Saccharomyces cerevisiae S288C: one gene and its partners. The gene in region 1 interacts genetically with each later gene. Each region holds a gene or a part of one and is shown in the gene's direction. Other genes may lie near its edges.

What was found.
Region 2: mutations in VPS71 (region 1) and RTT103 together harm fitness more than expected from each alone (negative genetic interaction), as found in Saccharomyces cerevisiae (5 studies listed by BioGRID).
Region 3: mutations in VPS71 (region 1) and SIF2 together harm fitness more than expected from each alone (negative genetic interaction), as found in Saccharomyces cerevisiae (5 studies listed by BioGRID, with this or other methods).
Region 4: mutations in VPS71 (region 1) and SET2 together harm fitness more than expected from each alone (negative genetic interaction), as found in Saccharomyces cerevisiae (11 studies listed by BioGRID, with this or other methods).

What each region holds. Positions count from the first base shown.
Region 1 is NC_001145.3:194,413-197,494, reverse strand, and holds VPS71 (Vps71p), read left to right. Parts: upstream 1-1,739; coding exon 1,740-2,582; downstream 2,583-3,082. Other genes in the region: YML040W (gag protein), read right to left, coding at 1-867; carnitine O-acetyltransferase CAT2, read right to left, coding at 2,695-3,082. UniProt on the Saccharomyces cerevisiae protein: Participates in the catalytic exchange of histone H2A for the H2A variant HZT1, an euchromatin-specific factor, leading to chromatin remodeling and changes in transcription of targeted genes. Indirectly involved in vacuolar protein sorting.
Region 2 is NC_001136.10:1,037,735-1,041,349, reverse strand, and holds RTT103 (Rtt103p), read left to right. Parts: upstream 1-1,840; coding exon 1,841-3,070; downstream 3,071-3,615. Other genes in the region: HRQ1 (ATP-dependent 3'-5' DNA helicase), read right to left, coding at 1-1,622; Smc5-Smc6 complex subunit NSE3, read right to left, coding at 3,244-3,615. UniProt on the Saccharomyces cerevisiae protein: Involved in transcription termination by RNA polymerase II and in regulation of Ty1 transposition.
Region 3 is NC_001134.8:445,778-449,884, forward strand, and holds SIF2 (Sif2p), read left to right. Parts: upstream 1-1,931; coding exon 1,932-3,539; downstream 3,540-4,107. Other genes in the region: exocyst subunit EXO84, read right to left, coding at 1-1,546; YMC2 (organic acid transporter), read left to right, coding at 3,890-4,107. UniProt on the Saccharomyces cerevisiae protein: Antagonizes telomeric silencing in yeast. May recruit SIR4 to non-telomeric sites or repression.
Region 4 is NC_001142.9:101,659-106,211, reverse strand, and holds SET2 (histone methyltransferase SET2), read left to right. Parts: upstream 1-1,783; coding exon 1,784-3,985; downstream 3,986-4,553. Other genes in the region: ERG20 (bifunctional (2E,6E)-farnesyl diphosphate synthase/dimethylallyltranstransferase), read right to left, coding at 140-1,198; ASG7 (Asg7p), read left to right, coding at 4,433-4,553. UniProt on the Saccharomyces cerevisiae protein: Histone methyltransferase that trimethylates histone H3 'Lys-36' forming H3K36me3. Involved in transcription elongation as well as in transcription repression.

The sequences.
Region 1 (3,082 bases):
TTTTGTTTCAAATGCATCTGCAGGTGTACTGCCATTATATTGCAAATTTGCCAGGGTCACAATGTCGTTTGCCTCTTGGGTATCAGATTGCATTTTTTCAATACTTTTGGAAAGAATTTTCATGATATCCGTATAATCAACGGATAGGATGTCTTTGACCCAGGTAGGTAGGAATTGAGAGGGAGCAAATATTTGAAAAGTGTTATACAAGAAGGTGAGTTCATCATCAGTGATCTGACGTACGGGTTTTCCGTTTACTGTCGGAATAATACCACCGAGATTCGAGTTTTGTAAAAATTTGATGTATGTTTTAACCCAATTTGGAAAGTCATTAGGTGAGGTTAACATTGGTGGTGGTCTGACATATTTTTTAGTGGATGTCATATCAGAGTCCGCTGAGGATGAATCAGTAAATGTATTACCTGACTCAGGTGATGGAGTGCTCAGAGGCGTTCCAACTGATGATGGATACTGCGGAAACTGTGATTGTGGCCCAGGTGGAAAGTACATAGGCGACATTTGATAAGGTGTATACGGAATCATAGATGGGTGTCCGTAAAATGACCAACCAGATGGATTGGCTTGGTTTTGGGTCATCATGCACTGCTGTGGGTACGGCCCATTCTGTGGAGGTGGTACTGAAGCAGGTTGAGGAGAGGCATGATGGGGGTTCTCTGGAACAGCTGATGAAGCAGGTGTTGTTGTCTGTTGAGAGTTAGCCTTAGTGGAAGCCTTCTCACATTCTTCTGTTTTGGAAGCTGAAACGTCTAACGGATCTTGATTTGTGTGGACTTCCTTAGAAGTAACCGAAGCACAGGCGCTACCATGAGAAATATGTGAATGTTGAGATAATTGTTGGGATTCCATTGTTGATAAAGGCTATAATATTAGGTATACAGAATATACTAGAAGTTCTCCTCGAGGATATAGGAATCCTCAAAATGGAATCTATATTTCTACATACTAATATTACGATTATTCCTCATTCCGTTTTATATGTTTATATTCATTGATCCTATTACATTATCAATCCTTGCGTTTCAGCTTCCACTAATTTAGATGACTATTTCTCATCATTTGCGTCATCTTCTAACACCGTATATGATAATATACTAGTAATGTAAATACTAGTTAGTAGATGATAGTTGATTTCTATTCCAACAACTAGTAACACGAATACTACTAAACAAATGATATTTTAGAGTTCCATTTCAACATTATGCACTCAATATTCATTATTGTTGTTAAGGGCTTAATATTGTAGTTGTCAGAAAACTTTTACTATTCGGTGATTCCTTAGTGGCTAAGATTCACAAGTTCACAAGGGCGTGTGGTCTAGTGGTATGATTCTCGCTTTGGGCGACTTCCTGATTAAACAGGAAGACAAAGCATGCGAGAGGCCCTGGGTTCAATTCCCAGCTCGCCCCTTTTTTTGATATTTTTTTTGGAGTATTACAAAAACGACCATTCATTAAGGAAGTGAAGTCGGTGGAATAGCTAGAGAGCTTATATTTATTTAGTCGTTGCTTTATGTAACGAAGCAATCAATAAAATATTTGTGTTCTGTAGAAATAACTTTGATCCGGGTAATAGATAATTAATAACTACTTTTTTTATAATGAACATGATGATCTTTGTGAGTATTAACAAAAGTCGAAGCGGCCCTTTCAATCTATAGTAACGTCGATATCATTGATAGATCGAAGAAAAAGAACGGATCGCTTACTCATAACAGCGAAATGAAGGCGCTAGTTGAAGAGATTGATAAGAAAACTTACAATCCTGACATATATTTCACGTCATTGGATCCTCAAGCACGTCGATATACTTCAAAGAAGATTAATAAGCAAGGCACAATATCCACCTCTAGGCCCGTAAAGCGCATAAACTACTCACTGGCAGATTTAGAGGCCAGGTTATATACTTCGAGATCTGAGGGAGATGGCAATAGTATAAGCAGACAGGATGACCGAAATAGTAAGAATTCCCATTCATTTGAAGAAAGGTACACACAACAAGAGATTCTCCAGTCGGACAGGAGGTTTATGGAACTTAACACAGAAAATTTCTCGGATTTACCAAATGTACCGACTTTATTAAGTGATCTCACAGGCGTACCACGAGATAGAATTGAATCAACAACCAAACCGATCTCACAGACCTCGGATGGTCTCTCTGCATTAATGGGTGGTTCTTCTTTTGTAAAAGAGCATTCCAAGTATGGTCATGGTTGGGTGCTTAAACCAGAAACCTTACGGGAAATACAATTATCGTATAAATCTACAAAACTACCTAAACCAAAGAGGAAGAATACCAATCGTATTGTGGCGTTAAAGAAGGTTTTAAGTTCAAAAAGAAATTTACATTCGTTTTTAGATTCTGCGCTGCTAAACTTGATGGATAAGAATGTCATTTACCACAATGTTTACAATAAACGATACTTCAAAGTGTTACCCCTAATTACGACATGCTCTATTTGCGGTGGCTACGATAGTATTTCAAGTTGCGTTAATTGTGGAAATAAGATTTGTTCTGTAAGTTGTTTTAAATTGCATAATGAAACTAGGTGCAGAAATAGATAGTAATGATCAGTATGTATTCGTAAGCCCTTTTTTCTCCCCTATTTATACGTATGTAAGTGTAGATACTTAACAAAAATATTCACAAATTAATTGAAGAGGAAAGGTGAAAAATTCATAACTTTGCTTTTCGTTTATTCTCATTTTCCAAGGCGTCAAAAATTTCATCAGCAGCTTGAGATAAATAATAGTGTAATCTGTTAACACTGGCTCCACTCTTGGCTGGTTTGTTGACAATATTGATATGCAGCCACTCGTTATTCAACATGTATGCCAGTCCAAACCCGTTGTCATTTACTTGAGACCAACCATAACCGTCAAAATATTCCGAAGATAGTTGAGATGTGGAGATCAACCAAGTTGAAGAATAATTAAATAAGGGATCTTTGAAAAGGGGCGGAATTTGGTCATCATTAGATTTTAGCATATTCTTTAGACCGAAGAAATGACGATCGACACCATTACCATTTGCAGCATTTTTCAGGTACGTAGAATGCTCTTTT
Region 2 (3,615 bases), on another chromosome or scaffold:
ACACGACGAACGTAGCAAAATGCTATGGTTCTTACGTTGTTCAATATCAATTGTACCAATATCTTTGCACTCTCTCTAATGAAATTTTCTCGTTTACGTTCGTGTTGAGGTAAAATTGGAGGATTCCACACCACTAGATGCTTAGCACCTGTAGGTGAGCCATCCTCGTGTATTAGCGTAACCTCATTAATTCCAAACATGTCCTTCATATGTTGTACTGGAGACTTTAAAGTTGCAGAACATGAAATAAATTGTAAACCACTATTTTCGTAAAAACAGTGGCACAGTCTTAGTAAACGTCTCATCACTAATGCCACGTGCGATCCAAATAAACCCTTATATATATGCAATTCATCGACCACCACTAACTTTAGATGGTACAAAAAATGTCTCCAATTTGCATGATTAGGTAAAATGCTGGTATGTATCATGTCAGGATTGGTAAAAATAACTCTAGCATTTTTACGAATATAAGCTCTTTCCTCTGGCTCCGTATCGCCGTCATACGTATCAACCACGGCATTCTTTAGCTCGGGGATCTTTGAAAGTATTACCTTGAATGCTCTTTTTTGATCTTGTGCCAGGGCCTTTGTTGGAAATATATACATAAACGTTGATTCAGGATCCTTTAAAAGAAGATCGATAGCTGCTAGTTGGTAAATAAGGGATTTACCTGAAGAGGTCGATGTTGTAATAATGACGTTTTCGCCTTGATGAAGACTGTTTATCGCATCTGCTTGATGGCTGTAGAAATTTTCGTGTTCCATACCCTGATATACTTCCGGTGCAAGCTCAAAACAGAGACCTTTATACTTCGCTGTTCTTGATGGTATTGTAAAACAATGCTTTATCTGAGAAGCGTAGAATTCAGTACTTTTTAATTTCTCAATCATTTGAGGAATTGTTGTTATCACTGAATTATTGGAATAATTGGGAATGCTCATCTCATTACTTTCTTGCTTCGCCTTCATCATTGCCTCAATAGGATCCTCATAATCTCTCTCCCTTGGAATATATTTCTGCGCTAGATTTGTTAACTCAGAAAATGGGTCAAGGTTAGCCTTTTCCTTTTCCAGGATAAATTCCCGTAGTCTGGATTTAAAGAGAGCTTCCCTTTTAGAAATCATCTTTTTCATTTCCTCCGTAGTATATGTTGGTATCTTTATTTGAGAAAATCTATCACTTGCAGACCATGAGCGTTGCATTGTACCGTCTATAAATTCAAATATAAGTAACTGAGTAGATTTTTGAGTCTGATTTTGGTCATCAACGTCCTTCAGTTCAAATATGTCATTTTCCTTCTGCTGAAAGCCGCCATTATTGAAGTCAAAAATCTTAGTTTCAGTATAAATTTGGTTCTCATCAATATACTTGAAAACACATTCTCTTGGCATTAGCGCCATAACCATGGCTAGGTCTTCTTTCGTCACAGTTCTTTTCAAAGCAGTTTCTATAGGTCCACAAAGTGTTTTAAATGTAGGCACAACATGCTTTCTGCAAATCAAAAAGGTGTAAAGAGTATTAAGGCGGAAAAAAAATTGTTCAAAATTTCTAAAGGCATCGGTCTTTCCACTCCCTTGACCTGCTGACTTCAGTTTCTTTTTGATAGGTCCTTCCTCCATTTTTCCTTCTCAAATGAACATTTCTTTTCTACGACCTTAACCATCTCAATATGTATAACGGTTCTGTTTTATAACGAAAAATGAAAAAGTTATTTTTTTCCTTTAAAAATATATAAACTTGAAAAGCCAACATAATAATATAAGTACAAGCGAAGAAGGTTTTAACGAAGAGGTAGAAAATTTGAAGAAAGCAATAATCCAAGATTAAAATAGACGGTATGCCTTTCTCTTCTGAGCAATTCACAACCAAATTAAATACGTTGGAAGATTCCCAAGAATCTATTTCCAGTGCCTCAAAGTGGTTGCTTCTACAGTATAGAGATGCTCCCAAAGTGGCAGAAATGTGGAAAGAATACATGTTAAGGCCTAGTGTAAACACAAGAAGGAAGTTATTGGGTCTTTACTTAATGAATCATGTTGTTCAACAGGCTAAAGGTCAAAAAATTATTCAATTTCAAGATTCCTTTGGAAAGGTGGCAGCAGAAGTATTGGGAAGAATTAATCAAGAGTTTCCGAGGGACCTAAAAAAGAAGTTGTCAAGAGTTGTGAATATACTAAAAGAAAGAAATATATTTTCCAAGCAGGTAGTCAATGACATAGAAAGAAGTCTTAAAACCGAGAGCTCACCAGTGGAAGCGTTGGTGTTACCCCAGAAATTGAAAGATTTTGCTAAGGACTATGAAAAATTAGTGAAAATGCACCATAATGTTTGCGCGATGAAAATGAGATTTGACAAATCATCAGATGAATTGGATCCATCCAGCTCAGTTTACGAGGAAAATTTTAAAACAATAAGTAAGATTGGGAACATGGCTAAAGATATAATAAATGAATCAATTCTAAAAAGAGAAAGCGGTATCCATAAACTGCAAAGCACACTGGACGATGAAAAAAGGCATCTAGATGAGGAACAGAATATGTTAAGTGAAATAGAATTCGTTTTATCTGCTAAAGACCCATCCAGATTAAATAAAAACGTTGATGAAGACAATATTATTCCTACGTATGAAGTGGGGGATGGAGATGACGATGACGATGATGGTGATAATGATGATGATGATGATGATGATGATGATGACAAAAATTACGATGATAGATCCAATGACAGCAATTATGGCGTTACTAATATTAGCACCACAGATAAGAAGAATGAAGTTGTAGAAAAGACAGATAGCGAACATAAAAACTCTACTCATAATCCTAGTGACAATCAATTTGGTATGAAACGAACACATGATATGATAGGTCATGATGACGCTAATGACATACCGGAAAAAAAGGTTCATCTTGATTCGAAGACGAGTGAAGATGGTACTTTCAACAGTGAGGATGGACATTATGAGTTAGATATAGAAGGCCACGTCGGCGCCCAAACCGACGAAGGTGTTGAGAATTCCGGAGGGGTTTCTTCTAGTATACAAGACTTGTTAAGTAAGCTTGCAAATTAATATGATGGTTGAGTAAAAAGAAAACAAGGAGATAACTTATACAAATATATAGTAACCCGTTTAAGTCCAGTCTTTTTTCGTAACTATTTGCCCATAGTTTATTTCGTATTCATCTTCACTATTTCCTCGACAAAAAAGATGCGCACCTAAACTACATGGACACCTATGCAATGCTATATAGAATATGAATCGCCAATGCTTTTTATTATATCATCGTGCAAACTTTTAGTCTGCTCCTTTTCAAGGCCCATGATTTCTTGCACCAATTTTTCAAGAGACTCTAGTCCAAGCTCAGCCTGAGTTCTTCTACCTATCCTGTATGATATCACTTCCCCGTCGGTATCGGATTTCTCCTCCAATCTGACTATATATTCGCGCTTTTCTAAACTTTTTATCAAATCTTCAATAGTAATGTTCAGTATAGCAATCTTTGAACCATCGCTTGGAATGCCAAATGTCTCTAGAAATTTGATCAATTCCTGATGTAATATGTTATTCTTAGAGAAGAAAACAATGCATAAAATGACGCTCAAAACACCCTTGTA
Region 3 (4,107 bases), on another chromosome or scaffold:
ATAGAGTTAGGTTCTGCAAAAGATATTGATCCATTGCGCCTGTTACATTTCGGCCAGGAGTGATTGAACCCCCCATACTACGTCTTTTGTTTTTGTTAGGGCTTCTGTTGTTTTCTCTACCTGGGGTTTGTTGCGTAGATTGCAAATATCTAAAGGACTCTCTAATACGTTTAGAGTTCTCCTCTTCTACATGGAATATGTCGCACAAATCATCCTTAGCCTTTCTTATAACGTCCAACAACCTAGAGCATTCGTCTGCGTCTCTACATTCATACAAACTTGAATTCGAATTGCTAAACTTGAAAAGTAGCCTCTTAGTGGAAAATTCCTCTTGCGTGACAGTGACATCCTTTAAAGGATAGCACTGGCTTACTATAAAGTCATTTTGCTTATCTCTTGATTTATCGGCGATAAGTACCAAATCATTCAAAATGAAAATCTGTACCATCTGCAAGGGTTTACCAGTGGTAGTATTTAATTCCATCCAATTGGCACTATTCATTAAAATATGTCTTCCTTTCGTAGAATTGATAAACTTCTGAGCACCTTCAACGTTCTTAAACAGCTGATCCAGTTCCGTATCCCAAAATTTCTCTAATATCAAGACGCTCGATCTGTCCCTCCTCATGAGATTCCCATTTTGTCCTGCTTTCAAAGGCGGAAGTAACGCTGGACTATTAGAATGACTTTCAACATTGTTAAAATTGCCTTGTCTCTCTTGATCTATTTGATCCTGCAATTGTAACCTTTTTTCAGCTATTTTGGTGCACTGATCCAAAACCTCGTTTAAATCATTTATATTTGCTCTAACCCTTTTAAGCTCCAACATAGCAACATTTAGGTCGTTGTTTACCGTCATGATTTCGTTATATGATTTATTGATATTTAACTTTACTTCTTCTTGGACCTGTATCGATAAATCTGTTAAATTTGAGGTAAATTTATCAATAGTAATGGCACTCGCATTGCCTAGTTTATCATGAACAAAATCTTTAGCATTAAAATGCGGGTTTGCCAACATCTTTCTTAGCGACGTGCTATTATTGAAAGGATCATTACTGCCGGAAGGATTGACAGTATTTCGCATTGCTGATCTAGCAGGCACCTTATTATAGGAGCTGTCGTTCAGGGAGAGATCGGCAGTTGAAAGATTTAAACTGTTGGAAGGGCCTTTAGAGCTTACCGATTCGTTCTCAGTGGTGAAACTACTATTATTATGACTACTATCCACATTATCATTGGGAACTATCATGTTTGGCATATCAGGTAGGGGCATTGAGTAATCTAGTGTAGGTGGAGCATAATTTGTATTATGAATTGATAGTCTTCTCTGCATTGAAGTTGCTACCCTACTTCTCTCCCTTGCATTGATTGTTGGTAGCGTATAACTGGTAGCCGGATCCTTGAGATCACTATAAGGGTTCTTTTTTGTTTTTTGTTTAGGCTTAGCAGGCGATGGAGGTGTCTTTTGCTTAGCAGGAGAGCTTGCAGACTTCTTTACATGCTTCCAATTGTTTCTGGCCTTCTTCAAAGAAAACTCAACCATTTTCACAGTACAAATATTTCAACTTTCAGTCTCTTACCTGGTCTAATATGAAGGCTTTTTGTTCATTCGGCTTTGCTCAAGGTCTTACAAATATACTATTAACTGCAGTCTCTAGTCTCTTTTTCCAGTCATCTATTTTCATGGAGCGGAACTTAGCAAACGAGAAATAAACAAAAATGATTAGGAATGTATTCATGTTGAAAAGGTTATGAGATATGCAAGACCATTCGTTTTGATTTGCAATTAGTGAGAACAATTTAAACACCTTGGTGCGAAATTGAAGGTTTTTTTTTCCAAAGAAGTGTACAGCCCACACTAACAACTGCTAACTCAGATAAAAATAACAGAAACAAAAAAAAGGTAGGGAAGGCCCATCACACGGAAAATGAGTATAACAAGTGAAGAACTAAACTACTTGATATGGAGGTATTGTCAAGAGATGGGACACGAGGTGAGTGCATTAGCATTGCAGGATGAAACAAGAGTATTGGAATTTGATGAGAAGTATAAAGAACACATTCCTTTGGGTACACTGGTGAATCTAGTACAAAGGGGAATCTTGTATACAGAAAGTGAGTTAATGGTTGATAGTAAAGGTGATATCAGCGCTTTAAATGAACATCATCTTTCTGAAGATTTCAATTTGGTTCAGGCGCTGCAAATAGATAAAGAAAAATTTCCTGAGATCTCTTCTGAAGGAAGGTTCACTTTGGAAACCAATTCCGAGAGTAATAAAGCAGGTGAAGATGGCGCTAGTACTGTTGAAAGAGAAACCCAAGAGGACGATACTAATTCTATTGACAGTAGTGATGACCTAGACGGATTTGTCAAAATACTGAAGGAGATAGTAAAATTAGATAATATTGTTTCCTCCACTTGGAATCCATTGGATGAATCTATACTCGCATACGGTGAAAAAAATTCTGTTGCAAGACTAGCGAGGATAGTAGAAACCGATCAAGAAGGGAAAAAATACTGGAAACTCACGATAATAGCGGAGTTGAGACATCCTTTTGCTCTGAGTGCAAGTAGTGGTAAAACGACGAATCAAGTCACATGTCTTGCTTGGTCACACGATGGTAATTCAATTGTCACGGGTGTAGAAAATGGTGAGCTAAGACTATGGAATAAGACGGGGGCACTTCTGAATGTTTTAAATTTTCATAGAGCACCTATAGTATCCGTTAAATGGAACAAAGATGGAACACATATCATATCCATGGACGTGGAAAATGTCACTATACTCTGGAATGTTATAAGCGGGACCGTCATGCAGCACTTTGAATTAAAAGAAACCGGTGGCTCATCCATCAACGCAGAGAACCATAGTGGCGATGGTTCACTTGGGGTTGACGTTGAATGGGTAGACGATGACAAATTTGTCATTCCTGGCCCTAAAGGTGCTATATTTGTATACCAAATTACAGAAAAAACGCCCACTGGTAAACTTATTGGACACCATGGACCTATCAGCGTTTTGGAGTTCAATGACACCAATAAACTTCTACTTAGTGCCTCAGACGATGGTACTCTAAGAATATGGCATGGCGGTAACGGCAATTCTCAGAATTGCTTCTACGGACACTCACAAAGCATAGTATCGGCATCATGGGTCGGTGATGATAAGGTAATATCCTGCTCGATGGATGGCTCCGTTCGCCTATGGTCGCTGAAGCAGAATACGCTATTGGCTCTATCAATCGTGGATGGTGTCCCAATTTTTGCTGGAAGAATATCACAAGATGGACAGAAGTACGCAGTTGCTTTCATGGATGGGCAGGTAAACGTCTACGATTTAAAAAAACTGAACAGCAAGTCACGAAGTCTTTATGGTAACCGTGATGGGATTTTGAATCCATTACCAATTCCCCTCTACGCTAGCTACCAAAGCAGCCAAGACAATGATTATATATTTGATCTGTCATGGAACTGTGCGGGAAACAAGATTTCTGTAGCATACTCGCTTCAAGAAGGTTCAGTTGTAGCCATATAATAACTAGGTACAGTACATAAACAGATGAATTTTATCATTCTTATTGTTATTTCTTTGTTTACAAAAGGTGAAAAGTGAAAAATTTCGCAATGGAAAACGTCGCGGGCCGCCTTTGAGTGACGTTGTGCAGGAATCTCGAAGAGTCATCACTTTGAAGATAACGGCCGCTCGCGATGAGAGAAGACAATGAGCATTGCTTTTTTATAATTTTTTATACCTTGTGTTAAAATAAGTTTCTTTAATTAGTTTTCACCTCTTGGATGATACAACTGTAATTGATAAATAGGGGTAGCCATAAAGAACAGAAAAAAGCGGCGCAATAATTTCGTGTATTACAATTACAGTTAGTCATGAGTGAAGAATTTCCTACGCCGCAGCTTTTGGATGAATTGGAAGATCAACAGAAAGTTACCACGCCGAATGAGAAGAGAGAGTTAAGTTCTAATCGTGTGTTGAAGGATATTTTTGCGGGTACCATCGGTGGTATTGCACAAGTTCTTGTAGGGCAACCGTTTGATACAACAAAAGTTAGGCTTCAAACAGCCACCACAAGAACAACAACGTTGGA
Region 4 (4,553 bases), on another chromosome or scaffold:
TCCTTGGACTAGTCACGTGGAACGGTAGATCGAGAGATACTATCTTAAAGCTTATACTATATTATATTGGAAGTATATAGTTCTTATACATGGTCCTTATCTAGTTTGAAATCTAATGTTTTATCGATTAGCGTTAGTTCTATTTGCTTCTCTTGTAAACTTTGTTCAAGAACGCAGTTAAGACATCAGCTTTGAAGCCACGAGACTCATCGACCTGAGAAATTTTGGCCTTCAAATCCTTGGCAATAGACTCTTCATATTCGTGGTATAGCTGTTCAATTTTCAAGTCATTGAAAATCTTTTTGCATTTGGCTTCTGCGACTGAGTCCTTCTTACCGTAATTTTCGTCTAAAGTCTTTCTTTGTTCTGCGGAAGCAAGTTCCAATGCCTTGTTGATTACCCAAGAACATTTGTTATCTTGGATATCTGTACCGATCTTACCGATCTGTTCTGGGGTACCGAAGCAGTCTAAGTAGTCATCTTGAATTTGGAAGTATTCACCCAATGGAATCAAGACATCTCTGGCTTGTTTCAAATCCTTTTCATCCGTGATACCGGCAACGTACATGGCCAATGCGACAGGCAAGTAGAAAGAATAGTAAGCAGTCTTGAAAGTAACTATGAAGGAGTGCTTCTTTAGGGAGAACTTACTCAAGTCGACTTTGTCTTCAGGTGCAGTGATTAAGTCCATCAATTGGCCCAATTCGGTTTGGAAGGTGACCTCATGGAACAATTCGGTGATATCTATGTAGTATTTTTCGTTTCTGAAGTGAGATTTCAAAAGCTTGTAGATAGCAGCCTCTAACATGAATGCGTCATTGATGGCAATTTCCCCAACTTCAGGAACCTTGTACCAACATGGTTGGCCTCTTCTGGTAATGGACTTGTCCATCATATCATCGGCGACCAAGAAGTAAGCCTGCAACAACTCAATGCACCAACCTAGAATGGCAACCTTTTCGTATTCTTCTTGCCCCAATTGTTCAACGGTCTTGTTGGAGAGAATAGCATACGTGTCCACAACGGACAAACCTCTATTTAGCTTACCGCCTGGAGTGTTGTAGTTCAATGAGTGGGCATACCAGTCACATGCTTCCTTAGGCATACCGTAAGCCAAAAGCGATGCGTTCAATTCCTCTACTAATTTAGGGAAAACGTTCAAGAATCTCTCTCTCCTAATTTCTTTTTCTGAAGCCATTTCTACGTAATATTTTTGAGTTTATTGTGCCTATGTCAGTCCAATACCTGTTGGTTGAGTTTTTAAAGTTAAAATGAAAACTGATAGAAGAACAATCTATCATAAAGTATTAGTTTCGACATGCGTTTATATATATTTCCTGCCGTTGCTTCCTCTATTTATCGGTCTTTTTCAACAAGGCGTTTCGTTTAGAACCGACGAGAAGAAGCTGACTTCGACTATTGAAAAAAGAATGCTCAATGATATTGCTTGTCACTTCATCAGTATTTAAAATATGTGTAGAGGACGGTGAATATACCGCTTAGAATACCTCACACTGTATATCGCAGTAATAAGGACAGTATCCGTACTTTTACAGATTTGTCACGTGATCAATATCACCTTTAACGTTTTTTTTTTTTTATTCACTGCAAACATGTGAAAAATTCCAAGAAACTATTAGAATTATTGGTAATTTGGTGGTTATTTATCAGAACGTAAGGTCACGTTGGCAGCTTTTCAAAGGGGCTTTCGAACGTGTGATAGAAAACTGCATAGTCGTGCTGTCAAACCTTTCTCCTTTCCTGGTTGTTGTTTTACGTGATCATGTCGAAGAACCAAAGTGTGAGTGCGTCGGAAGATGAAAAAGAAATACTGAATAACAACGCTGAGGGCCATAAACCTCAAAGGCTTTTTGATCAAGAGCCTGATCTCACAGAGGAAGCATTGACCAAATTTGAAAACTTGGATGACTGTATATATGCGAACAAGAGGATCGGAACATTTAAGAATAATGATTTCATGGAATGTGACTGTTATGAAGAATTCTCAGATGGCGTCAACCATGCCTGTGACGAGGATTCTGACTGTATCAATAGACTTACGTTGATAGAATGTGTCAACGATTTGTGTTCATCTTGTGGTAATGATTGTCAAAATCAGAGATTTCAAAAGAAGCAGTACGCTCCGATAGCCATATTTAAAACAAAGCATAAAGGTTATGGCGTAAGAGCCGAACAGGACATAGAAGCCAACCAGTTCATTTACGAGTACAAAGGTGAGGTGATCGAGGAGATGGAATTTAGAGATAGGTTAATAGACTATGACCAACGTCATTTCAAGCATTTTTATTTTATGATGTTACAGAACGGAGAATTCATTGACGCCACAATAAAGGGTTCGTTGGCCAGATTTTGCAATCACTCTTGCAGCCCCAATGCATATGTTAATAAATGGGTTGTTAAGGATAAGCTACGCATGGGAATATTTGCTCAAAGAAAAATTTTAAAAGGTGAGGAAATCACTTTTGATTATAATGTGGATCGTTATGGTGCTCAAGCTCAGAAATGCTACTGTGAGGAGCCAAATTGTATTGGGTTTCTCGGTGGTAAGACTCAAACAGATGCGGCATCTTTATTGCCCCAGAACATCGCTGATGCCTTGGGAGTGACTGTTTCCATGGAGAAAAAATGGCTAAAGTTAAAGAAATTAAGCGGTGAGCCAATAATAAAGAATGAAAACGAGAACATAAATATTGAATTTCTTCAATCATTGGAAGTCCAACCTATCGACAGCCCAGTGGATGTGACGAAGATCATGAGTGTATTACTACAGCAAGATAATAAGATAATTGCATCCAAACTCTTGAAGAGACTTTTTACTATCGATGATGACTCTCTTCGTCATCAGGCTATCAAACTACACGGTTACACCTGTTTTAGCAAAATGCTTAAATTGTTTATCACGGAACAACCTCAGGTAGATGGAAAAGGAAACGAGACTGAAGAAGATGATATAAAGTTTATAAAGGGAATTTTAGATTTTTTGTTGGAATTACCAAAGACAACTCGAAACGGTATTGAGTCGTCACAAATTGATAATGTAGTAAAAACTCTCCCTGCAAAGTTTCCATTTTTAAAGCCAAACTGCGATGAGTTATTGGAGAAATGGTCGAAATTTGAAACATATAAAAGGATAACGAAGAAAGACATAAACGTCGCAGCCAGCAAAATGATAGATTTGAGAAGGGTGAGATTACCTCCAGGCTGGGAGATCATTCACGAAAACGGTCGCCCATTGTATTATAATGCAGAACAGAAAACGAAACTACACTATCCACCTTCGGGATCATCTAAGGTCTTTAGTTCAAGGTCAAATACACAAGTAAATTCTCCGAGTAGCAGTGGAATACCAAAAACGCCTGGCGCTTTAGACTCTAAGAAACATAAGCTGAGTGACGAAGAATATGAGAGGAAGAAACAAAAAAGACTGGAATACGAAAGAATTGCGCTAGAAAGAGCCAAACAAGAAGAATTGGAAAGCCTGAAGCAAAAGCTAAAGCTTGAGAATGAAAGAAAAAGCGTTTTGGAGGATATTATAGCGGAGGCCAACAAACAGAAGGAGTTACAAAAGGAAGAGGCCAAAAAACTAGTGGAAGCAAAAGAGGCTAAGCGGTTGAAAAGAAAAACGGTCTCCCAGTCCCAAAGACTAGAGCACAACTGGAATAAATTCTTTGCATCTTTTGTACCCAACTTAATAAAAAAAAACCCACAAAGTAAACAATTTGATCATGAAAACATTAAACAATGTGCTAAAGACATCGTGAAAATCCTAACTACAAAGGAACTTAAAAAAGATTCTTCAAGAGCGCCGCCTGATGACTTAACCAAAGGAAAAAGGCATAAAGTTAAAGAATTCATAAATTCATACATGGATAAGATTATCCTCAAGAAGAAGCAAAAAAAGGCGTTGGCATTATCATCAGCATCAACAAGGATGTCTTCTCCTCCACCTTCAACATCATCATAATTAACCAGACATGCATATTTGGGGCTTGTTTCACGTTTTCTGTCCCAAAGGAAGTCTTGTACTTTAATTGTAATTGCGATTTGTAATAAGTAATTTTTTTTGTCTTTACCGTTTATTTCTTTATACATTTTTGGTGCATATATTTAAATATCCGCATTAGTGGGCTATCAGTAGCACTGTAATGATAGGTAATGTGACACATCTTCTCGACAGATATTATTCTTGAAAAAATCGTGCGTTTCAAGTGTCTTTATTTTTTTGCTGTCAATAGAAGTGTTGAAATGACTTTGAAACGTAATTACCGCATCGGGAAATTTACATGTTAACTGCAATGAAAACAAGGAATATACGGGGAACATATAAAGGGTCAGCGTCGTTGACTAGTCTGTCATTTATATTGTGCTTGTACATAGGACTACAAAAATTCAAAGAATGACGACAAGAAACATGACTACTTTAGCATCAAGTATTGAGCATAAAACAAAACATCTAGCCGCGCCCTTCGAGAACGATGAGAACCCTTGGATGAAAAAATACTGTTGCCAATGCAAATCATGTAAAATGAGTG